Elephas maximus indicus: one gene and its partners. The protein of the gene in region 3 interacts with the protein of the main gene of each other region in a pairwise test. Links are inferred from orthologs where the notes say so. Each region holds a gene or a part of one and is shown on either strand. Other genes may lie near its edges. The genes, in order: ATXN1L, HMGA1, RBFOX2 and RNF8.

The links.
Region 1: the proteins of RBFOX2 (region 3) and ATXN1L interact in binary tests that used the Homo sapiens proteins (3 or more experiments, as listed by UniProt). The link is inferred for Elephas maximus indicus from reciprocal best matches to the Homo sapiens genes RBFOX2 and ATXN1L.
Region 2: the proteins of RBFOX2 (region 3) and HMGA1 interact in a two-hybrid assay, tested with the Homo sapiens proteins (2 studies listed by BioGRID and IntAct, with this or other methods). The link is inferred for Elephas maximus indicus from reciprocal best matches to the Homo sapiens genes RBFOX2 and HMGA1.
Region 4: the proteins of RBFOX2 (region 3) and RNF8 interact in binary tests that used the Homo sapiens proteins (3 or more experiments, as listed by UniProt). The two-hybrid records come from large-scale screens. The link is inferred for Elephas maximus indicus from reciprocal best matches to the Homo sapiens genes RBFOX2 and RNF8.

What each region holds. Positions count from the first base shown.
Region 1 is NC_064839.1:38,614,974-38,622,133, reverse strand, and holds the start of ATXN1L (ataxin-1-like), read left to right. Parts: upstream 1-4,147; 5' UTR 4,148-4,268; intron 4,269-6,245; 5' UTR 6,246-6,322; intron 6,323-6,330; exon of another isoform or gene 6,331-6,520; intron 6,521-7,160. UniProt on the Homo sapiens protein: Chromatin-binding factor that repress Notch signaling in the absence of Notch intracellular domain by acting as a CBF1 corepressor. Binds to the HEY promoter and might assist, along with NCOR2, RBPJ-mediated repression.
Region 2 is NC_064819.1:97,114,603-97,122,317, reverse strand, and holds the start of HMGA1 (high mobility group protein HMG-I/HMG-Y), read right to left. Parts: upstream 3,014-7,715; 5' UTR 2,920-3,013; intron 2,687-2,919; 5' UTR 2,579-2,686; intron 1-2,578. UniProt on the Homo sapiens protein: HMG-I/Y bind preferentially to the minor groove of A+T rich regions in double-stranded DNA. It is suggested that these proteins could function in nucleosome phasing and in the 3'-end processing of mRNA transcripts.
Region 3 is NC_064822.1:179,541,665-179,549,664, reverse strand, and holds the start of RBFOX2 (RNA binding protein fox-1 homolog 2), read left to right. Parts: upstream 1-4,996; 5' UTR 4,997-5,118; coding exon 5,119-5,301; intron 5,302-8,000. UniProt on the Homo sapiens protein: RNA-binding protein that regulates alternative splicing events by binding to 5'-UGCAUGU-3' elements. Prevents binding of U2AF2 to the 3'-splice site.
Region 4 is NC_064819.1:101,041,974-101,049,920, forward strand, and holds the start of RNF8 (E3 ubiquitin-protein ligase RNF8), read left to right. Parts: upstream 1-4,932; 5' UTR 4,933-5,114; coding exon 5,115-5,225; intron 5,226-7,947. UniProt on the Homo sapiens protein: E3 ubiquitin-protein ligase that plays a key role in DNA damage signaling via 2 distinct roles: by mediating the 'Lys-63'-linked ubiquitination of histones H2A and H2AX and promoting the recruitment of DNA repair proteins at double-strand breaks (DSBs) sites, and by catalyzing 'Lys-48'-linked ubiquitination to remove target proteins from DNA damage sites.

The DNA of each region.
Region 1 (7,160 bases), on a different chromosome or scaffold from region 3:
TTTCAAACTTTTTAAAATAAACTTTTCATTTTGAGGTAACTGCCGATTTATGTGCAGTTGTAAAAAGAATACAGAGATCCTATTTACCCTTTACCCAGTTTTCCCCAGTGATAACATTTTGCAAAACTGTCGTACAATATCACAACCAGTATATTGATGCAGATACAGTCAAGATACAGAACAGACTTCAGAAATAAAAATTACTTGATTACCATAATAATCATTGCCACATTTCTCTGAGTCTGAAATAGGTCTTTAAATTCCCAAATTGCTAAGTAAAGCCTTAGGAGATACATGGTCTCAGGGATTGCATCGCTAGATGATCTGAGAAGCAGTTTGCTGTGCTGCCTGCAGTATTTACTCACTTTTTTTTTTTTTCAGGGAGTTTTAGGTGACTGGCAACCAGCTGCAAGTGGACCTGAAGACAATCAGCTTTGAAGCCACTGCTGAACATGATTTCACCACAACTCTGAGAATTACTACTGTAGATAAACAGCAACTCACAAATCACCTTGCCAAGCAAGTTTCCCAGAGAAAGAGAGAGTTATCAGTGTCTCAGGGGAGGAGGCATTCCAATCTTTCCACATCCACTTTATTCATTCAACAAACCCCAGGTAAGGAATTCCTGGCTACTCAGCAATGGCTTGAACGCACCTGTTTTTCTGTGGACCAGTTCTCCAGGTGTGACTCTTCCCATTCAAATAAGGGCTATATTTCAGTCAGCAATTTCAATCCTCAGTGTTTTTACTGCAACTTTTGATAATTCTACAGGAAGTTTGGGACAAAAATGAAAGTCTTTGGCAAGTGTCTGAGGAAGTAGACAAGGGAGGGACATCCCCTTCCCCGAAGGAAGTATTAGCCACTTTTGGGGGAATTACAAGACTCCTTTGAAATAAAATACTAATGAGTTTAAGAGGGAAAGCTCTGCTGGAACATGGACAGGTCACATAACATCAAAGGTGGGAATGAGGACACAGCATCATCCAGAGAAGTAAATAAAATAGAAGGTTGAAAATTGCATATTTTTGCATTGGACATTTTAGAAATGCTTTTGAAAAATAAGCCATTACCAGGCACCAACACTTCTCCAGGCAAAGCTAAATTCACAAAAGTATTTCCATAATTTCAATGTATGTTTGGGATTAGTTGTTTCTGTCATTGGTATCTAAAGGTAAGTCACCTTTATACGCTGAAGCATACAAGCAGGAACACGTGACAGTACAAAAAAAGCCACCTACCTCTCTTAAAAAAAAAAATTTTTTTTTTTTTTTACCTCTCTTATGACACACATAGGTTTCTGAGTTATCAGCACTTCTCTCTGGTTTTATCCTTTTAACCTCAAAAAGAGTTGAGATGGTTGTCTAAGCTTCCACAGTCTGTATTACAGGTCTACAAATTAGACCAAGGAGGAACTGGGCAATGCAGAGAGCTGGTTTGACGCTCCTGCCTGCTTAAGGAGAATAACCAGCACAGCAGGGTTTGTATTTTGTTTCTTTCTTCCAAAGAAGTAGCTCAAGCTCTCCCATGAAAAAAATTCAATCTGTGCCAAACGAAGGATTTCAATAGGAATCCAGGGAAAAGGGTGGAGACAACAGATTAAAGCTTAAATTTTGAGCGTCAACTATCTTTAAAAATCTCTTTTCACTTTATCAGTTCTTACAACTCAGTGGAAGAAAAACTCAGTCGAAGAAAATGAAAGGCTTTCAGATAAGATTGAAAATATATACTTAACAAATGGGGAAAAATACAGGATTGAAATGAGGAAATGGGAGCAAGAGAATTAGGAAGGAAAGTCTCCCAACTTGGCATATCTTTGTGAAGTTTCAGTCAATAATTATTTATTGAGCCTGTTACAGTGTACAAGACCCTGGGCTTACTTAATACAAGTAACTTAAATATTCAGAGAATATTCCAGATTTTTGAAGAAATAACTTGTTTTAGTTTCATAAATCTAAAAAACTGTATTAGTTAACTTATCCCTAATGTTCCTGTCAAACTACAGAGCTTCCTACGTCAAGATGTAGAACCAAAGAAATGATGACTGCTTGGAGGAGTTAAACATTCTAGAATAAGATAGTAAACTATGACCCACCCTTCTGGAACTGCAGCACCAAACCAGAAAATTACCTATGTTTCACCAATCAGAACATCCTGGTTTTTAAACAGACACGCCTTTTCACTACATCATTATGCTAATACTGGTAGCTAAAAAACTTTTTTTCCTGTCATCTACCTGTGTCTACTTTTTCAATTTTGTACATATCTTAATCTGGGAGAAATTGGCTATCTTGAGTGCACCTGGTTGGTCCAAGAGTCTGTATCTTGGCGGTTTTAATGCCAGTTTAGTGAGCTAGCAAAGAACTAGAAACCAGAATGCCAAACCAAAAAAAAAATTACCCAACCCGTTGCCATCAATTCCAACTCATAGTGGCCCTATAGCACAGAGTGGGAACGCCCCACAGGGTTTCCAGAGAGCACCGGGTGCATTCAAACTGCCAAGCTACAGGGTTAGCAGCCATAGCTCTTAACCACTACTCCATCAGGGCTTCCAGAATGCCAGTTAGTGCTAAAACGCATTCACTGAGTGACCACAGGATTTCCTCCTTGGCTAAACTGAGAGAGGAGGAGACTGTAGTGAAGGATAATATTAATATTCACAAAACAAAACCCTCTGCTGATTTAGATGGCTACAGAACAGTAACATCACTGTTTTGCCCACTTGTGTGGGATGTGTGAATGTGTGTGGGGGGTAGTGTTCAGTAATTTTGAAGATCCTGTGTGCCCATTCTAGGTACGAAAATATCAAAATTGAGGTCTAAGGATTCCATAGAAGGAATCTTAGGGATCATATACTTTCTTGGTATTTTAACTTTTTTATTTTTCTGAGGTAATATATCCTCGTAAAAAAAAAAAAAAAAATCAGCGATAACATATGCTGATCTTGTGACCACCATCCAATCTCACTTCCAACCCAGAGGAAATCAATGTATCCTTTTACTCCTTTTCTGCAAATATAATGTTATGTGTTTTTTAACATTAAATAAATACCACACTGCACATATTTGCCTATTTTTTCACTTAACAAATGTTTGGAGTTCTCTTCTATCTACATTTTACACCAACCCCTTTATCCAGTTCAAACTCCGCATTTTGCAGAAGTGGAAAACCAGCCTAAAGTGTAGAAATGGCTTTTCCAAGATCAGGCAGCAACAGAGTAGGGATCCCAGCCCAGTCAATACTTTTTAAACAAACAAAAATTAATTATTATTTACTAAGTAGAGCCTGTATTTAGTAAATAACCTGCAGAAACTGAAAGGAAAAATTTCACTCAAAATCCAATCTCGTCAATAATCAAATTTATTTTTTTCTCGGTTTATTTTAGTTTTTGTCCATATGCATAACTACTTCCTTTTTACAAAGTTAAACCAAAGCACAAATTGGCGTTCTTTTTTTTCCACTTAAATTAACCGGATTTTCATGTTACTATGAAGTCGCACCACCTAATCTGTGATGAATAGTGACCTAACATTTCATGGAGTAGTTCAACCCTCTTCCCACTAAATCAAGCTGCTTCCCTCTGTACTAAACCCCTTCGTCTCACTCCCCGCTAATTTTCAGGTCTCCTATTACAAGCTCCACCTGTCCACTCTTCTGTCCCCACTTATGTCCAATTCTAAACTTTTAAGAGTTACCATCTCCACCCTGGGTCTCCAGTGAGGGGGTCTCCCTACTCTCCAGGGCCTGGGCCGCCTCGGTGTTGCCCAAAGTTCCCAAGAGGAAGCTACGTGAGTCAAGCCCGGGAAGTCCAGGAAACAGGGGTCGCTGGTGGCCACGCCTCAGGCCTCTGTTTGAGGATCTCCCGAATTTAAGGGAGGGGAGATTGCGAGGTCATTGGTGGGTACGGTAAGGCGACCAGGCACCCTATTCATGTGACCCGGTGCCAGCCAGAAAAAAAAAAAAAGAAAAAACCCAGTGCCATCGAGTCGATTCCGGAGGGAGTGCGCTTTCCCACCAGAAGAGGCGCCGTGGGCGAGGGGCAGGTGGCCAACCTCCACCTTCAGGGGAGTCCCGGGCGTCGCTCCCTAGCCCGGACCATGACGGGATCTTTTCGCGCCGGTGCGGGACGCGTGACGCCATCTCCCGGCGCCCGGCGAGCGGGGGGAGGCGCTGGGTGTGGGGCGGCTCCCGGGCCGGGGATGGCGGCGGCCGCGGCTGCGGCGGCTCCGGGACGCGAGGGAGGAGCCCGGGGAGCGCCGTGAGATGGGCCGGTGAGTGTCGTCGGGCATTGGGGCAGTCTGGCCGGCCTCGCTAAGTTCAGGCCTGAGCTCGGAGCTCCGGAGGAAGTGGTCCCCCAGAGCCTGTTGCCCCACTGGGTTGGGGCCCGAGAACCGCGAACAGAGGGAGCGAAAGAGGCCGCGCCAAGACCCCCGCGCATTTTTCTCCAGCCTGGCCTGGAAGGGGGCCTCAGGCCCCGGCGCCGCCGCGGCTGAGTCCCTGCGGGCCGGTGTCCGAGTCCGCGGGGCGGGAAGGGGCCCCCAAACAAGGAAGCGCCGCCTGCGGGGCCTCGCCCCTGCTCCCTCTCTGCTTGAAGGGTCGACTCCCACTCTCTAAACTCAGAATTCCTAATTTTAGGCCCTACCCTTGTTAGAATTGAGATGGCGGGTTCTCAGGGAGCCATAACCCTAGTCTCTTCCAAGCTTCTCCCTGTCTTTCGGGTGTACCCCTTGCCCTCCGTGAATTCGGATTTGGAGCTGGGTTCTACCTATTGATTTCAACCCCAGCGTGATGGGGAGCTTCGTTCTGGGCTCTCTTGGCAGCTGCCCAGAACGGTCTCCTGACCCGTTAGCTCAGTTGGGGTCACAAGATATGTCTTCTCCAGAAGAAATTCTCATTGAGCTGTTCCAGAGGCCAAGGTCAGCTTCCGAAGTGTGCTTTGCGTTGTGGGAACCCGGCGCACAAGCTTGCCTCTTTGTTGTCATTCCCGCAGACCTTTTGCCTCTTTCAGTCATTTTATTAGCCCGTGTTTGCTAATCCCTCAAGGGTCTAGAGACAGGTTTTCTTTAATGGTTTGGTTACAAGAGACAAGGATCATTCTGGGATTGAAGATGTGAATCTAACTTCTGTTAGGAGTGGAGGAGAAAGCTGCTTTTCAATTACTGGAACTGCTGGAAGAGAAAGGGATGCATGACTTGTTACCGCTGTGTAATTTGTGTTTATGAAACTAGGAATTTGTCTTTACACCTTGTTTTCCTATCTCTTCACCTTTTCTGTACTTCCTCATCTTGCCTGTCTTAAGAGAAATGTGTACGGAACATTCCAGGCCCATATAACGTGCCTTCAGTTTGGACTGAGACTTGCAGTATTCTGTAGGACTTGGACGGGGCAGCCGAAAGTTTCTCGAGAGTACACATCCGTACTGCTTTCTCTGTCTTCAGATGTTAAGGCTCCTGTTCTGTGCTTGACATCTCTGGCATGTGTAGATTGAGGTGTCGATAGTTGAATGGTTCTTCTGTTTCCCCATTGTTAGCTACTTGAAGACCAGGGTGACATTTTCGTTTTCTGTCACACTCGATTCAGCACTTGCTACAAAGTTGTCACTCAGAACATTTTACACACACACATACTGGAGCCAATTTTTTTGGCCTGAAATTCTGTTAATAAGGCTTCCTCTTGAGTGACTCCCCTTGAGTGACTCCCCCCTTGACCTCTTTTTCTGCCCCAGAAACATAAATAATTGTTCTTCTTCCTTGTAGTGCTGCTTTTCTCATTTAAAACCCCCCACATCTGTGTTTTCATGGTGCTAAGTAAGGGCAAAGTCCATGAAGTTGATTTTTTTTTTCCTGCTTTCCATTGTTCACAGGGGAACAATGTTGAGTCTTTTCCATTTATTTGTAGATTTAACTGAAATTGGGATTGGAAGTAAATTTAACCTTGGGGAATTGGCATGGATAGAGAATGAAAAAAATGGTGTTAAGAAAAACAATGAAATTTGACACATGGAAATTTTTTTTCCAGGAATATCTTCCTTCAAATTACAGCTTCAGACATGGCTTTTTTTTTTTTCTTTTCTTTTCTATTTAACTGCCTGGGAACTCTGGATAAATGTGCAGTTACCTCTGGAGAAGAGGGTGAGGCAAGGACTTGTGGACTTCAATGTCTTTGTGGCTTTGAAATTACCTTTCATGACCCTGGGGAGGGTCAGAGGTCAGGCTCCTGCTTATTTCATCCATATTTCTGCCTTCTAGGCTCCCAAGCCAACCGGGAGGAGACTGCTTCTTACTACAGCTGCTCAGAAGCACCACTGGAAGCTCAGGTAATGCAGGTACTTTGGATTCCTTGTTACACAGAAACATCTGGGATGCAACAGTAGGAAAACAGAACAGAGTATAATACAGAAATCTCTCTTCAGATCCAGAGAGTTGAAGTCTGATTGGAAGAAATAGGTGACTAAGTTCATGTGCATTGAACTGTTCAGACAGAAAAGATGCTGTCTGGCAGTGGACAGAAGCATTTTTGAAAGGTGACTATAACGGTGGGGGAGGGGAGTAAGAACTTTTTTACGAATCACACAGACCTAAGATAGGAATAAACAGGCATGTTTGGAGGAATGGAGCCAGAATTTTAGGAAGTGATGTGTAGAGCAGATCTGTAATGGAAAAGGAACCACTGGCAAAAGAAAACACAAAGGAAAAAAGAAGGCACGTTGAAAGTGGTTAGTGAGAAGAAAAGAGGTTCTTGCCAGCCTAGGGAATAAGAGGCCTATATGAAATCAGAAGAGTTTTGCTGTTCTTTGAGGAGGAGGAGAAACAAATAAGTTTTACAGCAAGCTGGTAACAGGCACTCTCCCCATAAGGGCCCAGGTTTGAATGTGGTATTTTGTGAAGCAAAGAGGATACTAGATTTCATAACATTTTTAGGGAGCAAGGTTTTTTTTAAAAAAGACACAAGCAGACCCCAGGACTTAGTGATACTCAAGGTAGTCCTTGAGGTAGTAGTGATAAGAGGCAAAGGAGGAAGAGAGTTTAGGCTTTGGGGGGTGGGGGTAGAGTTAGGTGAGATCATAATCCAAATTAGGCTGGGGAGAGGAAACAAGGATGAGGTCATATGCTCAGGGAAAGAAGATGGCACATTAGTCTTTGGTAGCAAAAAGAAGAGAAACT
Region 2 (7,715 bases), on a different chromosome or scaffold from region 3:
AGTCAGATGGCATTTTTCTCTTTGACCCTTACTTACTAGAAGCACGGGTTTCTACCTCTGACCTTTCTGACAGACCCTAACCCCAAGAGTCCTAGCAGGGCTGATTCCCAAACCTTCTTGGTCCTTTCCTGGCACTTTCAGTCTTCTCAGAGGCCTGTTTGAGTTTAAGCCGCCCCACTAAGTCTGAGTTTGCCTAAAATCACCCACTGCCAGTTGAGTCTGCATCCTGTATTTGAGACCCTCTTCCAGAGGCTTAAAGAGGACTGTGAGGGTTCCCCACATCTCCACCCCTGTCCTCCCAGTTACCGATAGGAAACAGAGATGATCTAGGAGGCCTATGGCTCTACACTTCTCCCCCAGTAACCAACCAGTCCCTATCTGCCTTGGGCAAAGGGTGGCCCCAAGTGCCTCTGCTTCTGAAATCTCTCCATCTGTAAAATGGATGTAATAATAAGTGACCTGAGCCAACTAACTCTGCGTATTGCTATGAAGATCAAATTAAATAAGTTAAAAAAAGATACTTTAAATTGCGCTACATACATGTAAGATGTGCTCAACCTTCATTTTCTAAGAAATAGCAGGGGGAATCTTGGCTCCAGTCAAAATGAGAACTAGAACATTTGAAAACAACTTTTCTTCCCCCTTTTCAGATCTTTAAGCATTTTCCAATTTTAACCCAATGGAAAAAAAAAGACATTCCGGTAAACTTGTGATTTTTGGAGGGCCGAGGCCCCCATCCTCAAGCATAAAGAGGCCCTCCAGACAGCGGGACTTTGTCTGATAATTATTCTATTTTACAATATTTCAGACTTGGAGACCCTTTTAAACAAGGTGGTTGGTGATTTATCCTGCTCCATCATTAGCGGCTTGGCCTGCTCTGTAATTACAGGCAGTGATTAGAATCTTATATTACACCACAGGTCTCCCTTAAAAACTAAACATCAAAATTAATCAGCTAAATGAGGGCTGACCTCACATGAGGTTTGCCAGGTCCCCCTAACAGAGGGGGTTCCAGTTGAGCGAAGTCAGCCCTGAATCCCAGAGAGCCTGAAGATCCTGGCCGGTCTCCTTGGAAGCTCTTATACCATGCGGCCCCCAACCTCTTGCTACTAGGACCCTTTAATCCACCCGTCCTTCCTCCCCACGCCCAACCAGGCCCCCAGAACCTGAATGAAAGCCTGAGGCCTTCTCTAGAGAAGCCAAGAAATGCCTGTCTCTTCCACCTGTTTCTAAACATCAGGAAGGCCTGGCTTGGAGAAGCCACATTTAGGGCCCAACCTCAATCCCTCCATTAGTAATAAGCCTGCTTGGGCCTCAAGCATGTCCCCTACCTACACTGTGTATGCAACGTGTGCTCCACAAACGCTTAGGGAGCCTGCAAAAATGGCCCTAGGAATCATCTTGGGAGCCCCCTTTCCTTGTTTTCCAAAGAAGAAGTAGCCCAGAGAGGCTTGATGAGTTGCCCAAGGTCACACAGCAAGTTGTCGAGCATAGGTTGGAGTAGGTACCTGGCGATCCCTCCAGCCCGCCACACTTTTCTTCCCCACCTGGAGGCTGGTTATGTCCCTGTAGCCCCCTGCTCCAGACTACTACCCCGAGTGACTCTGCAAGTGTTTGTACCCGACCGTTGCAGGCCAGACGGCGGGACTAGGGGCCGGGGCGAGCGGGGGGAGGGGCGCAAGCCGTTCCTGCAGGCGCGGGAAACCGGCGCACCCTGACCGCATGCACCGCCACGCGGGTGCACCCGGCCCCACTTCCTGCCAGAGGGGGCACCCAAGCCCGCCTTGGGGCAGGAAACCTGGCGCGCGCGGGCGCAGGAGAGAGGAAGAAAGCCACCTCCCTCCGTGCCCTCCCCGCAAAATAAAACCCCCCCAAAAAATAGAAACGGGGAATCATAGGGACTAGTTCCAACAGAGCCCAGCAAAGCAGAGAAACCAGTTTGTGGGGGCGGAGGGCAGGCCCGGCCCTGGGGGCTGAAGAGGAGCGGGCCAGGCCAGAGGTGGGGTCAGGGTGAAGCCCCAAACCCAGGCCCACGATCCGGCCTCATCAGCGGAGGAGGGACCAGGAAAAAGGCCGAGGACAGTTAAGGGCGAATTGCGGGGTGCTTGCCCATCCCCCTCACTTCTAGAACTTCCCCAGGCTGCGGGGGGCGCCCGACCCACCCCCCACTCTCCCGCGGCGCCGCAGCCTGCTACTCTCTCCACCTTCTCGCCCAGGCTCTGGCGAGAGCGGCCGCCGCGCGAGGTGCACCCGGCTCTGCCGGGTGCACAACTCGCGCTCGCTGCAGCCGCGCGCCCCCTCCCCCACCGCGCGCTTTTCCCGGGTCCCCACCCCCCGCGGTGCGCCCGCGGTACGGGGGAAGGGGTGCGGGCGCCCACCCCGCGCCGCCAGGCCCTGCCGCCCGCCCCCGCGCCGCGCGGCCCTCCCCCGCCGGCGACTCGCGCTGCCCCGGCCTGGGAATAAAGCCGGCGGCGCGCGCTGCAGCCCCGGGCGGCTGGCAGAAGGGGCGGCGAGCAGGCGGGGGCGCGGGCGCCCCCAGCCGCCGCCGCCGCCGCCGCGGCCCCCGGGGACGACTCACCGCGAGCTCGGCCGCCGGCCTGCGGTGCGCGCTCGGGGCTGCCGGGAGCGGCGGTGCTGGGCGCTGAGGACCGGCCTGGCTCCGCCGCCGCTGGTAGCGAATGCGGATCTGAAACCAGGAGAGAGCAGAGGTGCTCAGAGCCTGCCGCCGCCGCGTGCCCGCCGCCCAGGCCCCCGCGGGGTATTTATATGCCACATCCAGAGGGGGGCTATTCCCCCTCCCCGAAGGATGGCGAGGGGCAGGAAGCTGGGCACGGCCCGTGCGCGGCCTCAATAAATAAATAATTTAATTAAATTATAGATATAAAAAAAAGGAAGCCACCGGAGCGGCCGCGAACTCACGCCTTCTTGGAGCCGCGCCAGCGCCAGAAATAGCCCGGGCTAGGAGTCCCAATTAGAGGAGCGCAGCCCCGGCTCAGGGGAGCTTAAAAAGAGCGACCCAGGGGCAGGGGGGACGGGCCCGCCCGCGCCAGCCGTGTCACTAAGGGGGCGGGGCCATGCAAATGAGCCCGGGGATTTAAAAGGGCGGCCGCCCGCCAGCCGCCACCGCTCGGGTGGGTGCTGACGGCGGGGAGGGGCCCGCGGTTCCTGACGTCGGGGTGGGGGGGAGCGAGTGCGCGGGAGGCGAGTGCGCGGGAGGCCTGGGCTGGGAACCCGAGGCTATGGCCCACTCGTCACACTCTCGGCCTGAGAGAACTGGCAAGGAGCGCAGAGAAATCAGGAAGCAGCTTTATGCGAGGGGGAGGGCGGCCTTTCTGCCCAAAGTGGGGTCCCCAGGCTAGTCACCTCTTGGGACCTTCTGGGCATGTGGGTCTTCCCTCTCCACGCACCGGTGGGCGTTCGTGCCTGCGGGGTCCACGCGGCGTGAGAGTGGAGAGACGCGAACCTGTTCAGAGAATTCCGCGGCCTATCCTCCGCCCCCTTCGCCCAGATACGCTGCTCATAGATCTCCCCTGGGCGGACAGGTGTCGGCATGTGCATTTCAGTGTCAACCCGCGTGTGGCTGGCTGGTGAAATACAAGTCTTGTGAAACTTGTGAAATTCAAAGAGTTTTAATTAATGGCCACGGGTGAGCCATAATCAAGGTGCAGCCTTCAAGCGAAAGAAACGATTGACTCGTTCGCAAGTCAATCCGAGGAGTCCTTCTTTTAGGTGACGTGGGTGGTGTTTTGGGACATGCGGTCCCAGTTTGTGACCTGGCCCTCTGCTGTGATTTTTTTTCTAAATAAGAAAGCGTGGGCAAGGGATCCCCTGGAAGCTCTTTGAGGGCAGGGGCTGAGTTTTACGCACGCCACACCCGCCACGCCTGGGCCGCCCGGCGCCTGACTCAACAAAAACTTGTTGCACAAACGAGAAGGAAGCCAAAGTGGAAAGATGGCGGGGAAGGCGGTGGGGGAAGAAAAGGCGCAGTCGGAGCGGCGCGCCCTGCAGGCCGGGGCCCGGGGCCTTCTTGGGCGCACCTCCCCGCCCTTGGGCCCTGAGGCGGCCTTCCACACCTCCCGTGATGCAGGGAATTGCAATGTGGTCCAGTGACACACGGCGGCTGTGACTCATGTTTTTCTTTGCTCCCCTTCTCCTCCCCGGTCAGCCGAGGCCCCGGCCCAGCCCCCTCCTCAGGAGGCGATCGGGCGGTGGAGGGGGACGCTAGGAAAACCCTGAACCCGGAGTGGAGGCGGGGTGGGGAGCTGGAGGGGCCGGGCCTCCTAGTTTCAGGAATGTTTCAGGAATGTTTCCGGTGGGGGTGGGGAACAGAGCCGGGAGTGGGCCCAGCCCCCACCCCAGGGCAGCGGGATGGCGCTCTGGGCCCGGGGCAGCACGTGCTCGGCCGGGTGGGGGTGGGGGCGCCTAGGCGGGAAGGCGCCGGGGGCTGAGAGAGCGGGTTCAAAGGGGAGGGCGCGGGCCTGGGGCCTGCCCAGGCCGGGGGTGGGCCCGAAGGCCGCGCTCCGCGCGCTGGTTCCCCGCCCTGCGCCCAGGTGAAAGGCAGTTCCTGAGAAGTCCTGAGGCCGCCCCAGAAGGGGAGAGGAAGTCACCGAAGGGCGCCCGAGGGGAGGGGAGAGAAGGGAGGAGGGGGAAGAGAGGGAGAGGCTGGGGGAGGGGCGGCCTGCCCCTTTGTCTGGAGCCGGTTGGTGGGGGTGGGGCGGGGTGAAGCGCGCGGCTCCCTCCATCTTTGTGTCCTGAGCATGGCGCGCGCGCTTAGTAGGCCGCGAGAAGAGTTGGTTGGAGGGCACTGAGTGGCGCGCTCTGGAGCCTTTGCAGCATTGAGTGGAGGGACGCGTCTTCAGCGCCTACTCGTCCACCCCCAGATCACAGGCCCCTGCTAGCAACCCGGTCCCCCACGTCTGGGCCATCCCCCCCAGAGCCCCACGCCCCTATATGCAACCCTGCCCAAGGCCAGCCCTCCCCACGGCTGTCTGGGCTTCTTGTACGAGGTTCTGGGGCTGGCCGTCAGGAAGGCACGGGGATGGTCTTGTTAGCCCCCTCGCCTGGACGCACCTAACCTCAGGGGTGCCTTCCCAGAGAGGGCGATAAAGGCGGGAGAGGGACTTCCCAAGTGGGCTGTGGGAAAACTCGGCCAACTATTTGGCCCACTTCTAGCAAGCCAATTTGATGTTTTTCCTACTCTTATTTTCCCCCTCGTCCTGATTTCCTCATTTACTTTTTTTTTTTTAACCTTGCATTGTGTGTATTTTTGTAATTCACCTCAAACCCTCTCTGGAAGGAGGCAGGTATAAATAAAGATGTAGGCAAATACAGTAAGCTGGTCCCCTCCAGGATTACCCACACCTTGAAATCCAAATAATTCTCTACCCACTGACCCGCACCTAAATGCTTTCTAGATTACAAATGTTCCGAATTCACACTCTGTACTTTTCCTCTTTCAATAGGTATCTCAAAGAGGGATGAGTAGTGGGGGTAAAAAGATGAAGAAGACAATCCCTGTCCCAGCAAATTTCCTGTCTAGGGGAATCTTGACCAGGAATGTCCAAGAGAAAGCTGAATCATAATCCAGGAGATGCCATGAGGCAAAAAGCATTCATTCAGTATTCACTGAGGGCCTACTCCATGCCAGGAACTGGCCCAAACTCTTGGGGTACAATTAGTAAATAAAGCAAAGTTCCCTGCATTCTTGAAACTTAGATTGAGGGGTGGAATGCTTAAGGAGAGCCTTGGTCGATGCTAAAGGAGGTCAGAGGTAAGAGATTGAGAACCTGAGGTGGTTGGTCAAGGAAGTCTCCTGGAGGAGATGGGCTTGAGCAGCCCGTGATGGGATTTGGATAGGTGGGAAACAGTGGGGACCAGGGAGAAGAAGCTATTCTAGGCCTGAGTCTAACCATAACGTCAACCAGGTTGGCCAAGATCTGAGGGAACCTGGAGGAGTTGGTTGGTATTAGACCCAGTCTTTGCCACAAGACGAATTTCCCAATGATCAGATTCAGGTAATAACAGTTTCCGCAAGTATAGCTCAATGAACATCAATGAACCCAAAAGGAGTATCCAGGTAATGGGGTGTTGGGTAACCTTAACTTTTCAGGACAGCTAAAAGTTAAGGTCATTTCCCCCTGAGCTATTGAAATTCTTCCTGAAGTGTGTTAGTTCTTTCCCTGACAATCTCTCAGTCCTGGTTTGGAAATGCAAATGTGGTAGTTTGGGTGTTCTTAGCATTCCCTGGGGATTCAAGTTTTCTTTCCTCCCATCTCTCTAGTCAGCATGTTTGCTTATCATTTTACCTCTTGCTTATCATTTTACCTCTTGCTTCTCAGTCAACTGCTGTTTTTAGAAGAGTAGGAGGAAAGACCCGTGTGGATGGTTAGTGATTGGGTTATTTAAGGTTTTCCAAATGGAGGGGGTGGGGGTGTGACTATGTATGGCATGGGGTATCCAGCCCAGCATGGAAGGTGGATGGGAAGGGGGAGAGAATCAGGAATTGCTGAGTATCATTGGGTGACTACAAACTCTATAAATTGTCCAAACCAGGGCAGTTTTAAAAGTAAACTTATTACTGACAAATAACATACGTACAGAAAATGCATAAATCCTAAGTGTTCAGCTCAAATTTTCACTGGGTGAACATTGTGTGACCAGCACCCAGATCAAGAAGCAGTTGCCGGCTGCCTTGTGTAACCACTATCCCAACTTCTAACAGCATTGTTTAGTTTTGTCTATGTACATTATATGAATGGAATCATACAGTATGTATTCTCCCAGGTTGGTTTCTTTCGCTCAGCCTAATGTCTGTGAGATTCATCCATGTTATTGTGTGGCTGTAGACTGTTCATTCTCGTTGCTGTGTAGTTAATATGGTATGAATGAACAACAATTTATTTATCCATCCTCTTGAAGGATATTTGGGTTTTTCCCTGTTTGGAGCTAATACAGTTACTGCTGCTGTGAACATCCTGAAAACCCTGGTGGCTGTAGTGGTTCAGAGTTCGGTTGCTAACCCAAAGGTTGGCAGTTTGAATTCACCAGGCACTCCTTGGAAACCCTATGGGACAGTTCTATTCTGTCCTCTAGGGTCACTGTGTGTCAGAATGGACTCAATGACAACAGGCTTGGTTTTGGTTTTAGGAACATTCTAGAATATGTCTTGATAAGCAAAGGCGTCCATTTCTGTTGTGTACGTACCTAGAAGAATTCCTGGATCATAGTATAGGTATGTTTAGCTTTAGTGGGCAAACAGGACACCTGAGAGTAAGAGGGAACACTATTAATAATTATGACCAGAGAACAGCATAAACCTGACCGGCCCATGTCAACCTGGGCGGACTCAGGATATAGGATCCAGCTTGGTCAAAGGTCCCTGCTACACAGTCTCTGACCACTATCCTCAAGAGTCATCTAGCTACTAGTGCATCTGGTCATCTGGCAGGATCAGGCCTCCAGACCCTGCTGACCACAAGCTCTTCTGCCAGCAAGCCTGGCAGGCCTAGAGTGGAAGGAGGGCCTCTTCTGGTTCCAACTTTCGAGGGAAAAACTCCCAAGTGAAAAGGAGGGCCTGGGAGGCAGCACCTCTCTGCCCCCTTCCTGTGAGCCAGTGGCTGGCCCACCCATGGCCTCGGGACACCATGGACTTTATGGCATTATTGAGGACTGGGTTACCAGGAAAGCCCAGCTCCTTTATAACCTGAAATAAAACC
Region 3 (8,000 bases):
ACAAGGTGCTAAGGATCTTGTCCAAGGTCAGGTATATGGCATGTTGTTGTTGTTAGGTGCCGTCAAGACAGTTCTGACTCATAGTGACCCCGTGTAAACAGAATGAAATGCTGCTTGGTCCTGCGCCATCCTCATGATGGTTGCTATGCTTGAGCCCATTGTTGTACCTGCAGTGTCGATCCATTTCGTTAACGGTCTTCTTCTTTTTCAGTGACCCTCCACTTTACCAAGTATGATGTCCTCCTCCAGGGACTGATCCTTCCGGATAATATGTCCAAAGTACTTGGGAAGAAGTCTTGCCACCCTCAATTCTAAGGAGCATTCTGGCTGTACTTCCTCCAAGACAGATTTGTTCATTCTTTTGGCAGTCCAGGGTATATTCAATATTATTTACCAATACCATAATTTGAAGGTGTCAATTCTTCTTCAGTCTTCCTTATTCAGTGTCCAGCTTTCACGTGCATAGGAGGCAACTGAAAACACCATGGCTTGTGTCATGTACACCTTAGTCCTTAAAGTGACATCTTTACTTTTTAACACTTCAAAAGAGCTCCTTTGCAGCAGATCTGCCCAGCACAATGCATCGATTTCTTGACTGCTGCTTCCATGGGTGTTGATTGTGGATCCAAGTAAAATGAAACTTTGACCTTTGCAACTTTAACCTTTTCTCCGTTTATCATGATGTTGCTTATTGGCCAAGATGTGAGGATTTTTGTTTTCTTTATGTCGAGGTGTAATCCATGCTGGACACCTTAGCCTTTGATCTTCATCAGTAAGTGCCTCAAGTCCTCTCTGCTTTCAGCAAGCAAGGTTGTGTCATCGGCATATTGCAGGTTGTTAATGAGTCTAGGGAAACCCTGGCAGCATAGTGGTTAAGTGCTATGGCTGCTAACCAAAGGGTTGGCAGTTCAAATCCGCCAGGTGCTCCTTGGAAACTCTATGGGGCAGTTCTACTCTGTCCTATAGGGTTGCTACAAGTTGGAATCGACTCGACGGCACTGGGTTTTTAATGAGTCTAGGTCACGTATATGGCATAGTCAGACTCAAATCCGTATCTACTTGGCACCCGAGTCCATGTTCCTGACCACTAGAGATGACCTTATGATGATTCATTGCAATTGTCTTTTTATTTGCTCATCCCTTCTCCCCTCCAGACTGTGACTTCCTTGGTACCAGGAATAAATTTTATTCATCTTGGTATCCCAGGCACTTGTCCACAGTTTTTTGAATAGAAAAATGAATAAATGTTAGGGCTGCAGTAGTTTTGGCAGCTAAAAATTCTTTCTAGGAAAATAGTCTTTAATTGTCCTCTTCGATGTGTTTTGTAACCACCTGTCTTCAAACAGATAGCTGCAGATTTAAATAAAAGAAATTATATTAGTTGTTGTGCTGCCACGGGTACATTCGGCCTATTCTAATATTTGTAGGCTTCTATTCTCCTCTCGAGGAGCCCTGGTAGTACAGTGGCTAAAATGCTCACCTGCTAACCCAAAGGTCAGCATTTTGAACCCACTAGCTGCTCCCTAGGAGAAAGATATGGTAGTCTGCTTCCATAAAGATTTACAGCCTTGAAAACTCTACTGGGCAGTTCTACTCTGTCCTATAGGGTTGCTATAAGTCTGAATTGACTCGAAAGCAGTGGGTTTGGTTTTTGGATTCTCTTCTCTCTCCCTAATTGCTTAATGCTTGTTTACAGGGCAGGGTCCAATTTCTCTTTGTTCTGCCTGGTAAATCAAACATTCCTATACTGCATTGCTCTATTTCTCAGGGATTTGAGAGTTACATGAATAATATAATAATCTGAGTCACAGGCAGCCCTGATACCAAATCTCATTTCTTGCTGGGTCATGGGGCAGCCCCAAAAGGACCTAGTGTCATTTAGATTTCAGTATATTGGCAAGGAAGGTGGTGAGGGAGGAAGAATTCTTAAGACACCAGTTCAATAAGTAAATGTTTCATAAAACCAATCACTGATGTCCTTAGGTTTTTTTTTTTTTTTTTTTTTTTAAGCCATCTTTGTTCCACAGGCCACCAGGAAACATTTTGATGTTTCTTCAAAGCTGAACTGCTTGGTTGGATGGGATCAAGCCCCATATGCTGTGGGGTACTGCTAACTAGAGCCCCCTATTAGGTTGGGGCTGTCTAATTCAGCTCAAGAATAAGCTTGCAGGCAATTGGACTTCCAACTTGATGATCTAAATGGCTGTATTAAGAGACGCTGAGGCTTCTTTTTCCAGCCTTATAAGCATCTGGCGAGCAGCTTACTATCACTAAATAAAATAATAAACAATTACCACTTATTAGGTAGTCACTATATGTTAGGGACTGTGGTGAACACTTTACTTATTTTGTCTCATTTAATCCTTAGAACAACACTGTGACTGTTACTATTGTTATCTTACAGACAAGGAATGTAAGGCTTATTGAAAATAAATAATTTGCCCAACAGTGTTGCATCAAGGTGTGAGTTGCAGAGCCTCCACTCTAATTTCCAGAGGCCCAACCCAAGCCACCGTATATAATAATAATGATAAAAGTAATAATGATAATGATATTCTTTGATCTTGACAGTGGGCTTTTTTCCACTCTTATATAAAGCACAAATAAAATCATAACAGTAATAATAACAGCTAACATGGCTCAGTGGTTAAGTGCTAGCTGCTATGTGAAAGGTTGGTGGTTCAAACCCACCAGCTGCTCCACAGGAGAAAAATGTGGCAGTCTGCTTCTGTAAAGATTTACAGCCTTGGAAACCCTATGGAGCAGTTCTACTCTGTCCTATAGGGTCACTATGAGTTGGAATTGGCTTAATGGCAATGAGTTTTTTTTTTTTTTTAAAAACATGTTTTGAGTGCTTACCATTGGCCACAGGCTTTTTGAAGTTCTTAATCCTCACTTAATTCTATGATAATCCTTTCCAGAAGTTCTATTATTATCCTAATTTTCAGATGAAGAAATTGAGGCATAGAGAGGTTAAGTAACCTTCATAAGGCTTCATGGCTTATAAATGCCAGAACTAAAACGTGGCTATTTTTATTGATCTATGACACAGCCTAAGTAAAAACAATATGCTCACTGTGAAAATTCAACTTCAAAACAAGTCTTCCATTTCTCCCTAACAAGGACCCCTAACACCCTTCTATACAGAAATTCTTGTTACCACTGGTCCAACACCACATGGTGTGATAAAGCCTGGGTTCAAACCTGAGTTGGTCTGACTCCAAAGCAGGAGTCTTTACCACTGTACTGTTTAACGCCGCCTAGGTTAAACCCAAGTTCAAAGGCCAAATCATGGACACATTTGGAAATTACCTTAGAAATCATCTAACCCAGGGTTTCTCAACCTCATCACTACTGACATTCTGGGTTGGTTAATGCTTTGTTGTGGGGACTGTCCTGTGCATTGTAGGATGCTGGGCAACATTCCTGACCTCTATCCACTAGATGCCAGTGGCACCTTCCAGTTGTAACCATCAAAAATGTCTCCAGATATTAACAAATGTTGGGGTGTGGGGAAAATCCTTCCTTTCCCCTTACTTGGTTTGAGCACCACTGATCTAAATCATTTCCTCATTTTACAAATGATGGAGCTGCTGTCCCAAGAGATGAAATAGACTGTCTAAGCTAGTTAGCAGGGCAAAGACTAAAAGCCATGCTGTTTATGCAACATCACTGTATCCCTGCAATGTATGAGGCACATTATGGAACCCTGAGTAAGCACGTGCCCATCAGCTATTCGGTGGGAGAGAAAAGCTATTGCAACTATCTCTAATGGCACAAAGTCGATACGCAATAAAGTTTTACTCAGGCAGCAAGGTGTAGAGAAAGACAATGTGATTTGTATCCTGAGATCTGAATTTATCACTTTTTAGCTGTCGGACTTAACCAAGCTTCAGGTTCATTATCAGTGAAACGGAGATCATGGCATCTACTCTGCCTGTGTTACCTGCCTCAAAACGGGTCTGTGAATGCCTTGTGGACACTATAAATCTCTTAAAAGCACCAGGTATTATTATGATGATTAAAAAAAAGAAAACCCAAACCCGTTGCTGTCGAGTTGATTCCGACTCATATGTGATAATAATCACTATTAGAATAAAAGCTCTCAGAACCCATGTAGGATTGGCCTTATTCCTGGACCTTCCAACTTGAGATTCCCTATTCCTCGGCTAGAGAGGAAGCAGGCAACGAGCCCCTCCCACTGTGCCTCTTCACGCCCTGGGAACCAACGCTGCCAGATGGGTGTATAAGCCTTCCAAGCGGGGGCTGCTACCCTGCTCTCGGGCGTCCCAAGCCCTGCCTGCCTTAGGCTTTGGCCCCACCCCTAAGGAAAACCAGACTCCGCCCCCTCCGCGCCTCCTGGAACTCCAGCCCGGCTCTACCTCCAGGACAATTCCTCGTTCGGATCGGAGATTCCCGAACTTCCCCGATCTCTTCCCGGCTTCCCTCGGGCGCCCCGAGCCCAGGCGGCGGAGATTGCCGAGGGGCTCGGCCCCGCCCCTCGACGGGCCGGGCCGCCGCCGCCACCGCCCCCTCGCCACAGCCTCCCGCGCGGGCTGGAGTTCCAGATCCCGGTCCCTCCCTCCTCCTTTCTCTCTCCCCGCCTTCCCGGTGCTGCCACAGTGGCGGGTCGGAGGATCCCGGCCAGTCAGCTCGTCCCAGCCACGAGCCCCTCCTCCCCCCTAATAAGCCCCCCTCCCCAGAGCTCGGGAGCCGGACCGCCCCCTTCCTCCCTCCGCGCGGCGTGTGAGGGAGAGTGGGAGAGGGCGAGCGCGGCCGGCAGGCGAGCTCCGGGAGCGTGAGAGGCGGGGCGGCGCGCAGGCCGGCGCTGGGGTGTGTGTGCGAGCGGGGGGTGCGAGCGAGCGAGCGAGCGCCTGTGGCGACCCGGCGGCGGCCCCGGACGGGGCGCGGGGAGCGAGCCGAGGCGCCCGCCAGCCAGGAGCGGCGACCGCCGGCCGCCGAGGGGCGCCGAGCCCGCGCGCGCGCGCACGCACGCACGCACGCGGGGGGGCGGGGGCAGGCGCGCGCCCGCCTGTCGCGACAGTCGGGGCCGAGGCCCAGGGCGAGGTGGCCTGTCGCGGGTCGCCCGGCTCCCGGAGGCGAGGCGGGCGCGGGCGGATGGCGGAAGGCGCCCAGCCGCAGCAGCCACCTCAGCTCGGGCCCGGCGCCGCTGCCCGGGGGATGAAGCGGGAGTCGGAGCTGGAGCTGCCGGTGCCCGGAGGGGGAGGAGACGGAGCCGAGCCCGGCCTGAGCAAGCGGCCGCGCACCGAGGAGGCGACGGCCGACGGCGGCGGGATGCAGGTGACCGCGCGGCAGGGGCGCCCCGTTTTCGCGGGGGCCGGGAGGGTCGGCCCCGGGCTTCCCGGCTTGGAGAGGAGGAGGGCGGGCGGGGGTCCTGGATCGGAGGTGGGAGGGGGCCGGTCGGGGCCTGGTTGGAAGGTGGGGCGGGCTCTGGCTGGGCGGCGAAGGGTGCAGGAGGATCTGGGGCGCCAAGAGGGTCCTGACGCCTGAGGGGACCAGGACGCACGTGAGTAGGTTTATGGGGGGAAATTGTACACGGTTGAGATGGATTCCATTCCCTCTAACCCGTTCTTAGTTCCTAGGGGTGGAGTGGAAGCCGGGAATTTCTGGGTGTATTGCCTAGAGGCGAGCCGCTGGGCTGGGTCGAGGATGAGGGGCGGCGGTGGTGGGAAAGCTCCCAAGAGGAAGGAGCAGTGCCTTTTCAGCAGCCCTCGACACACGCTGGGATGGGCAAAGGAAGGAGAGGAGGAAAAGCCAGCGAACTCCTAGAGAGAGCCGAAAGGGGATGTGGCTTAGATTGTGGGTTAAATCAGTTACCCAGGAGGGTGAGAAGTCTAGGGAGTTTGGTAGTGTTGTAGGGACACCGTGGCGCTCAGTCTCATTAACTTTGTGAAGCATGCTAATGAGTCTGAAGAGATACGAGAACTGTCCCTCCTGTACTTTGCCGATTGCATCCTACATAGCCAGGACACCGAATACCTTTTTAATGTCCTGGGGCATAAGAAAATTTATAGGACTATTAGGAGACTGGATTGTGGGTTGTGGACTTCAGGAGAAGCTGGTTGATTTGGATGGGGAATGGGAAATGTAGGGATGCCGTCAATGTCTTTGTAGTTAGACGAAGAGCTTGAAATCTTGGTAGGCTTTAGGATTTCGTCTCTGTTCAGAAAATACTTGCAATGAAATGGTGGGGCTCACTTACCAGCAGTTGTTCAGACATCTGCCTAATCCTCTGAAAATCATAGAATGTTAAAAGATAGAAAGGACCAGAGACATTTTTTCCGGGGCTTTTGCACTTGGATCGGTTTAGAGGCTTCTTACGCAAAATAGTGTATGTGCACTATTTTTGAGGGAGAGTCAGTAGCTTTCATCTTTTTTTTTTTTGAGGAGATGCAGTTGCCAAGATGTTTTAACCATCTCATCTTACAGATGGCAAATCAGAAGTCCAGAGATGACTACTGACTTTCCTAAGACCGACCAGGTAGCTGGTAGTAAAACTAGAACTAGAAGCCTGGTCTTGTAATTCCTATTCCTGTGGTCTGTCCATTACACTACCCTTGGAAATCTGTGCAAAGCTAAAAGACTTCCTGTGCCGTGCTCCCTGCTTTTCAAGGCCCTGCATGACTTCCTGTGTGGGAGACGGAGGAGCTGTACTTCAGCCTGGCATGTTTGCTGTATGCTTCTCGGTCTCCTTTGCAGAGGCCACTCTGTTACTTCTGTTGGTTTGGGTAAAGTGACCCTCTTGTTTGTTTTGGAATTCTTTTGTGTTTGCCTGCTCTTACTCTCCATTCGAAGTTTGTCAGGCAGAGGGATTATGAGAAGTAGAAGCTCAGGGCCATGGAGAAAATTTAGAGGAATATGGAGAGACTTCAGGTGAAGTGGGTTAGCATTGGATGGTAAGGAGGGGAGACGGGTTGTGGGTGCTAGTGAGCGTGTTCTACCTAATGTGTGCCTGTGTGTGTGTATTCATTTATTGTTTCTACCAGTTAATAGTCAGATTCCCCTTTCCCTCCTTCCCTCCTGGGGCCTATTATTTGCTGACTGCCTTCAAATTGACTAAGGACAGGAGTGTTTGGAAATGGAACAGGGTTTTGGGATTAGGGGACATGCAGAGGAAGGAGTGGGTTAGGTCCTTTGGGTATAAATGGGTGACTTAGAACTGTCCCACAGAGAATCCCTTTTTTTTGTTGTTGTTGTGTGTTTATGGATATTCTTTGTTTAGTTTTTCACTGTGTCCATTCTCACTGTTGTGCTCCCATTGTACCATGTCACACAGGTGTTCACATCATCATCGGTAGAGCACCTTGCCGTATGGTTTTTGAAAAATCCCTTCTTTTTGGACCTCAGTTTCCTTAGTTGTAAAATAAAGTGTTTGTATAGTATGATTTCTGAGTTACCTACTAAAAACACACAAGTTTAGTTTCATGTCCTTATCATAATTCAGTCTAGATGGGGAGACACAATGGGTGAAAAGTTTTTTTTTTTAAAAAATGTGTTTTTTGTGTGTGTATGATTTTTTTATTTAAGTTCCGGAGGAACAGGAGTAGAAATACCACAAAGTAGGTATATGTCACAAGGCATTGCATAATTTAGAGCCACAGTGTACAGAGGACTTGTGCCCCTGGGTCCAGAAGAAGGAGATGGTCATTCTTACCGAATTGGTCAAGGAAGGCTTTATGGGAAGGTTGAAATTTAAGGTGTAATTGGGAGTAAAGGAGAAATTGTGTTCGTGAAAAGATGATACTTTGCTTAGAGGACCTATAGCTCTAGGACTTTCTGGTATCGTGCTGACAATAATGATGGAATAATTAAGATTCGTCCAGCTAATGTTTACTGAGCAGCTGCCCTGTGCCAGGCAAGGTTTTAGCCCTAGGGGATATAGCGGTGAACAAAATAAAGACCCTATTCTCAAGAAACTGATATTCTAATGGGAAGAGACAGGCAATAAAGAAATGGACTATTACCAGTGATGAAGAAGA
Region 4 (7,947 bases), on a different chromosome or scaffold from region 3:
GAATGGGCATTCTCAATCTTGGCACTGACATTTTAGATTGGATAATTCATGTTATGCGGCTGTCTTGTGATTTGTAGGGAGTGTAACAGCCTCTGAGTCACTAAATGTCAGTAGCACCCCCAGCCCAGTCATGACAATTAAAAAATGTCTCCAGATGTTGACAAATGTCCTCAGGGTGGGGTGGGGGGGCAATAACACCCCTGGTTGAAAACCACTGGTATAAAGGAATAGAGTTAATAAAATCCCCAAATCTTAGAAGGCAGTGATTTTCAAACTGTTTTGATCACGCATGCTTAGCAGCCAAACAATGAGAACACAGCCACAATGTATGTATGCATATTTATATATATATGTATGCATATTTCTGTATTCCCTTACAAAACCTATATATATCCCCTATGATGTTATTTCATGTAATTATAAAATATTAACAAAAGTGAATATTTTTAGGACAGGATAAAAATATAATTAGGCATCCTGATATTTTCTTTCCATTAGCAAATGGGTCATTTTGTGCAGTTTCTAGAGTATGGCCATCCCACCTTAGAGACTATTGCTAGGTTACAATGGATGCAACCTTTTGGGCTAGATAGACCCAGGCTCATGGCCCTGGCTTCAGGTCATTGCACTGCCACTTACTAGTTGAGTCACGTTCATTCATTCAATAAAATGCCAGGAGTACAATGAAAAATAAAACATAACCCCCAAGGAGCTTATGTCAACAAGATCTTGGAAAACCCAGCAGTCTTATGTTCCTCATGGATAAAATGGGGATAATGATATCTTGCAGGATGGTAGTGAGGATTAAGTAAGACAATATACGCAAAGTGTATAATTAAAAAAAGTGGCAACTACTAATTCATTGCAGGGCTATTTGTAATAGCAAAAGACTAGAAAGAATCTGTGTATCAATAAGGGACTGGTCGAATTAAAAATGGTAATCCACACAATGGAGCAGTATATACAGCTATAAAGAGGAAGAAGGAATATATGTATATACTGCTATGGAGTGATTTCCAGGATATATTGTTAAATTAAAGATGCAAGGGAGAGGATTGAATAGGCAAAACACAGGGGATATTTCAGGGTAATGAAATTATTCTGTATGATACTATAATGGTGGCTACATGATGCTATGCACTCATCGAAACCCATTGAACTTTATAGCAGAAAGAGTGAAACAATATTTACAAATTCAAAAAAATCGTTTAGGAGATCGAGGGAATTTGAGGATGGAATCCAAACTGTGACAAAAGAATATATCTGTATTACAAACGTATGAAACAATCTCACTGAAAGGGATGGGGGAGAAAATGTGCATTTCGAAATGAGTAGAGTCTGTAAAACTAAAGACAAAAGGAACTGCACATAAGCACTGTATTCTAGTCTATAAAGTTGTTTCCCATAGGGGTATGGATTAACAATTCTGAAACCATTATACATGTATACTGGAAATGAACAATTAGGTAAACGGATGGCGGGAGCCAAATTTCTCACTTTTGGAGTTGGAGGTTACAGATAAGTAATGGGGGATGACTAGAATGATCCACATGGTAATGGATTCGAGTTGAAGACATCAGCATAAACTCATGTTTAGCTTACAGATGGATATATATAGATATGAGTATACACATGGGTCAGTATACACATATATTTCCTTGTTCTGTCAACTGAGAGGGCCTAGAACCAATGACATCTCAGTAGCAAGGAGCATACCTAGCACCCAGATCTTGGTTTCTAATACTATTTTCTAATGAAAGGAACCAGGACTCCTTGGAGAAATGGCTGATTTTAGGACTGGGCCATCTTTTGCCAGAAATTAAGGAAGTGCTAAAAAAAAAAACACAATTTTGGGATTATGTCAAAGGGATTTAGTAACCAACTGAACGAGCTATTAGTGGTTACAGATGGAACAATCTGAGTAACAAAATAAAGTGGTATGGGGTTATAACCTAAAGTTTAAAATAAATATCCATGAATCCACACTGATATAAATAAATGACTAAATAAAGAACTAAATGTAGGAGAAAAGGCAAATGTCCCATGTAGACTTCTAAATAAGGTAGATACTCTGCCCTCCAGGAGGGGGAGCCTAATACCCCACTCCTTAAGTGTGGGCTGCACATAACAACTTCCTTCCAAACAATACATTATGGAAAGGGGGAAAAAGAATAGGTTAACAGTGGAGAAAACTGGCAAACACTACTTCAACCAGGTAATAAAGCTTAACATGAAAAGTGATACCATGTTGATAGTACGCTCCTTTGATATGATGTGATGAGAATGGCACTTTACCTCTGTGGTCTTCCTCCCCCAAACCCGTAACCCCAGTCTAATAATAGAAAAACATCAGACAAATCCCAGTTAGGGACATGCTATAAAATACCAGGCCAGTACACTTCAAAACTGTCAAGGTTATTGAAAAAGTCTGAGAAACTGTCACAGCCATAAGAAACCTAAGGAGATAAAACCCCAAACCAAACCCATAGCCCTCAAGTTGATTCCAATAGTGACCATCTAGGACACAGTAGAACTGCCCCATAGGGTTTCCAAGGAGCAGCTGGTAGATTTGAACTGCTGACCTTTGGGTTAGCAAACGAGCTCTTAACCACTACACCAACAGAGTCAGAACGGCCTCGAGGTACACTTGCTGTTCCTGGGACAGAATACTAGGTGAAGTGAGGGCTGATTCCTAGTTTGAGGAAGCATCTTTATGAGTGCAGCTATGGGCTCTCTCTAATTTTCTTGTCCCCTGTGCCACCACAGACCACAATTCTTGATCTGACAGTGCCACACAGGTAAAATGCTCCAGGCTGGGATTGCAACCATGGTTGGGAAATTAAACAGACCTGAGTTATGAGGCATTGGTGGTCCAGTGGTAGAGTTCTTGCTTTAAATGTGGGAGATCCAGGTTTGATTCCCTGCCAAAGCACCGCATGCACAGCTCACCACTTGTCTGTCACTGGTGAACTGTGTGTTGCTATGATGTAGGACTGGACCAGTAAGCAACATCATGATAAATGAAGAAAATATTGAAGTTGTCAAGGATTTCATTTTATTTGGATCCACAATTAATGCTCACGGAAACAGCAGTCAAGAAATCATATGATGTATTGCATTGGGCAAATCTGCTGCAAAAGACTTCTTTAAAGCGTTGAAAAGCAAAGATGTCACTTTGAGGACTAAGGTGCACCTGACTCAAGCCATGGTATTTCCAATTGGCCCATATGAAGGAAGATGAAGAAGAACTGATGCATTTGAATTATGATGTTGGTGAAGAATACTGAATATACCACGGACTGCCAGAAGGACGAACAAATCTGATTTGGAAGAAGTACAGCCACGATGCCCCTTGGGAGTGAGGATGGCAAAAGACTTCATCTCACTCACTTTGGGCATGTTATCAGGAGGGACCAGGTCCTGGAGAAAGACATCATACTTGGTGAAGTAGAGGGTCAGTGAAAAAAAGAAAGACTCTCGATGAGATGGACTGACACAATGGCTGCAACAATGGGCTCAAACACAGCAATGATTGTGAGGATGGCACAGGAGTGGGCAACGTTTAGTTCTGCTATACATAAGGTCGCAGTGAGTTGGAATTGACTCAATCACACCTAACAACAAGAACAACATGATATAGGACCAGGCAGCATTTAGTTCCATTGTGTATGTGGTCTCCATTTGATGGAAGCTATGTTGTTACTTGCTAACAACAACAACAACAAACCTAAGTTAGCATCCTGCCCCACCACTTAGTTCGTTACTTTGGGAAGATTATTTAATCTCTCTGTAGCTCTTTTCTCATCATCCCTAAAGTGAGAATTATAATGGAAGCCATCATCATCATATTACTTGTGAACAACAAATAAGATAAAGTATGTAGCATGCTTGACCTTGTACCTGGCACTTAGCTCTCAATAAACACTAGTCATTTACTATTGTGCTCTGTATAATTCATTTAGTGTACATGTATTTTTTTCCTGACAGAATTTAATATAGGAAAATTGTCAACCAGGTATCAGAAAACTGAAAAGACAAAATGGGGCATTGAATTTATCACAGAGGTAGTCACTACAGGGAGCAGGTACCACACAATACTGGAAAATCAAAGGGAAGAATTAACTTTATTGAGAGTAATTTACTTTCCATAAATTCACCCATTGTAAGTGTGCAGTTCAACGATTTTTTAGTAAATGTATGCAGTTGTGCAGTCACCACAACCCAGTTTTAGAACATTTCTGTTACCCTCCCCAAATTCCCTCTAAGCCCAGCGGGTTTGCATTCAATCCCCAGCTCCCACACCTAGCGCGCCAGGCAACGACTGATCTGCTTTCTGCCTCGAGAGATTTGCCCAGTATAATTTTTTAAACCGGGAATAAAAGGACATCTTGCAAAACAGATGCTATTTAAGAATAGACAACATATTTTAACATTATCACAAGTTTAAAGGTTGTTTAAAAGTGGGTTATCGTTTTAAATAATATGGATATCATCATCATAATTAAAACCAAACCCATTGCCACCAAGGCGATTCCGACTCACAGCGACCCTATAGGACAGAATACAACTGCCTGTAGGGTTTCCAAGGCTGTGAATCTTTGTGAAAGTAGACTGCCACATCTTCCTCCCGCGGAGGTGGGTTCGAATTGCCCACCTATTAGTTAGTAGCCAAGCGCTTAACCACTGCACCACCAGGTGTCCTATCATAACAATGCGGTTATAAATAATTAAAAAAAAAAAAAAAAGGAACGGTGAGAAGAGCTTCCTATTTGGGGCAGTCAGGCTGGGGTAGCGGTTCTAGCGAGGAAGGGGACTGGGGGAGAATTAGCGTGCCTCAGGCGACACCTGCCGTACCGGGGGGTAAACGCCCCACACAGCCACCCCGCGGGCCGCCCCGCCCTCTCGCGCAGGCGCAGTGACTCCGCTCGCTGGCCGGGTCTGGGCTGGGCTTGCAGCCCGAGTGTGGGTTCGCACTGAGCGCGAGCGCTTGGCGATTGCTTCTGTCTGGTGTTTAGGTATGGCGGCCGCGAGGAAGCGGAGAAGCCGCCGGAGCCGGGGTCCGGGCCTCGCTGTGTGCTGACCGCGACCCGGGCCTGCCCTGGGCCGAGTGGGCTATGGGGGAGCCCGACTCTTTGGTCACGGGAGACCGCGCCGGTGGCCGGAGCTGGTGCTTGCGGCGGGTTGGGATGACCGCCGAGTGGCTGCTGCTGGAGGATGGGAGCGAGGTGAGGGCGAGGGAAGGGGTTTGGGGCAAGCAGGGGGAGAGCGGAGGGGAGGCGTCCGGGCGGGCCGGGAAGGGGGAGGAGGAGAGAGGCGTGAGGCTGGGTCACCGGGGTTCTTGTGCGAGCGGTTGGGGGAATCTGAGGGGGCAGGGCATTGGAGGAAGCAGGGACAAAGTGGGAGAAAGGAAGAAAGGAGGGCTCGGGGGAAATCTGGAGGGCCACAGGGAGCGGAGTGGCGACAGAGGCCTGGTCCGAGGATACTGGGACGAGAAGCTGGCCCCGTTGACAGAGGCCTGGGCCCAGGGGGCGAGCTAGGGCGGGAGTCGTGGTTGCGGACAGAGCCAGGTGGAGGGGGCATAGTGAGAGTGAACGCAGAGAGGGTGAGAAGACGCTGGGGTGAGGGGCAGGGAGGGACTGAGACAGCCCCTGTTTGGGTCACTCGGAGCCCTGCAGTACCGAGTCCGGGGCCGGGGAACCGTGGGGCGGAGCTGCCGCAACTTCCACCCCGAGTCGCCAACAGCCAAGGATCGGAGCCTGGCCAGGAAGGGCTACCGCGAGCGTGAACTTTATCGAGTTTTATTTTGAAAACGATTGCGAGTTTTGGGTTATATCCTCCAAAATACTCAAACTTTAATGTAACGGTCTTTTTCTCCTTTTTAACTCTTGGAGAAAGCTTGGCGCTTTGGGATGGATCACCTTTATGCCGTGACACGTACCGAGTGGTACCCTGAGATGGGCCGGGAGTGGGAATTCAGACATTTTTAAAGAATTCTCCTTTCCAGAGCTTGCTTATAATGTTTGCTAATGCGGTCATAAAAGCAAAACAAAACAAAAAAGAAAAGGTGAGAGGAGGTGAAGGAAGAGAGGGGAGGGAGGAATTAGATTGCAATCCGGTTAGGACGGAGAGCTGGGTCAGGGACCAGCTTGTGGTAACCAGGAACCGTTTGGGTTTGGGAAATAATTTGTAAAACAGGTTCATTTTGTAGTAAAACTAGGTGGCTGATCATTATGTTCTAAATTAAAGATTTTTGATTATTATGTATGCTTGATTAGATTTCCCTATAAGTCATATAGTCTCAATTCAGTCTCCCACGTATTTATTGAGTACTTATTTTTATGCTGTTTGGTGTACTATGAGAGGGACAAATCTTAACAACCTCTGTACTCAAAGTATTTGTAGCTTGAGTGGGGAAGGATTTATACAGTGAAGTAGTCTGAGAACATCCATGCAGGCTGTATGATCAAGTGCTTATATATGGATTATTTAATACTATTCTAGAGGAGTGGCTCCTCAAGTCAGAAGAGGGATTCAGGTCCAGTCTTAAAGTGACTACATTAGAGGGTTATTTCAGGAACACCAGGAAGAAAGACGCTTCTGCCCCAAAACATCCCTTCCACCCAAGTATCAGTACCTTGAATTCCACACTAGACATTCATTCACTTCCCTGTATGGCTTTTTCCAAACCATATACCTTTGGGAAGTTTAACAAATTAATAATTATAAATTAATAATAACTGACATTATTTTGTATAGGGTTTGGGCTTTCACATGTATTAATTAATCTTATCACTACTTATGCACTATACTCTGACACACAACCCTTTGAGGTGCGTAGTGGTCAAGTGTTTACTCATTTTTTCAGATTCAGTTGCAATGGTTTAATTTATTACTTCTCCTGAATACCTTGGTAGCACTGAGTATCTTAGGAGTGGCATGGGCAGAAAGATTAAAGCACCTGAACCAAGGGAGAGAGGACTATTAAAACTCTCCTAGACATATTTTAAACTATGGGTTAGTTTTGTGTGGTGCCTCTTCTTTGGAGAGAGACCTATGCAAATCTAAGTGAATGTTGAAGACTTAGTGGGAATGACTGTGGCTTGCCTAGGGGGCCTATGCAGAACAGAGGCCGGCCTATCCTGGCTGTCTGCAAGACTGGGTCTTAGGAAGTAGTTGGAGCATAGCCTGCAGTGTGTATGAAGAAAGACTTGAATCAAAGCCAAGAGATGAGGTCTTATTTTAATGGTCCCCAAATCATAGCATAGGCTGGTATGCACAAAGTTTTAGGAGGTATGCTGACATCATTTAACTATAATAGCAGTGTAAGGTCCATTCCCTACCTTTCCAGTTTCCCTTGGTCTCAGATTTCACAGATAACAAATAAAATACAGATGTACTGCAAATTAGCTAGCTTCTGGGCTCTGTGAGTATCTAGACCTTAAAGAAAAACTATAAAAAAACTATAGTATCTTCCTAAAAGGCAAGGATGGTTCTAGAGTATTTGCTAGTCATCTGGGAAACAGTAGGAATCATAATACCCAGGAGGGAAAGGGATAACATTGGTGAGGGTAGACAAGGACAAGATGATCTTCTAAACCAATTATGTCAGTAAGCTCAAAGGCTTGCAAAGCTGTTGTAAATGGAGACAACCCCCAACATATGGATCCCGGAAACGTTTGATGGCACTCAGTTTGCATGGGAAATTTAGTTTTGTGTTATGAACAGTGCTGAAATTTTCAGATAAGCTCACTGAAGACAATTCAACCTTGGTGTTGGTAAAAAGTCAATATTGCCAAGGTAATTTCTAGGGCCAGATAGTGCAGACAAGTATGAGAAAGGATGATTCCTTCTTTTTCTGTGAAAAAAGCCTGTAGGAAGCAATTTTAAAACAAGGTAGAGTTTCTTTACATTATTCTACCTTTTCTGTACCACTTTTCCCAGGTTATC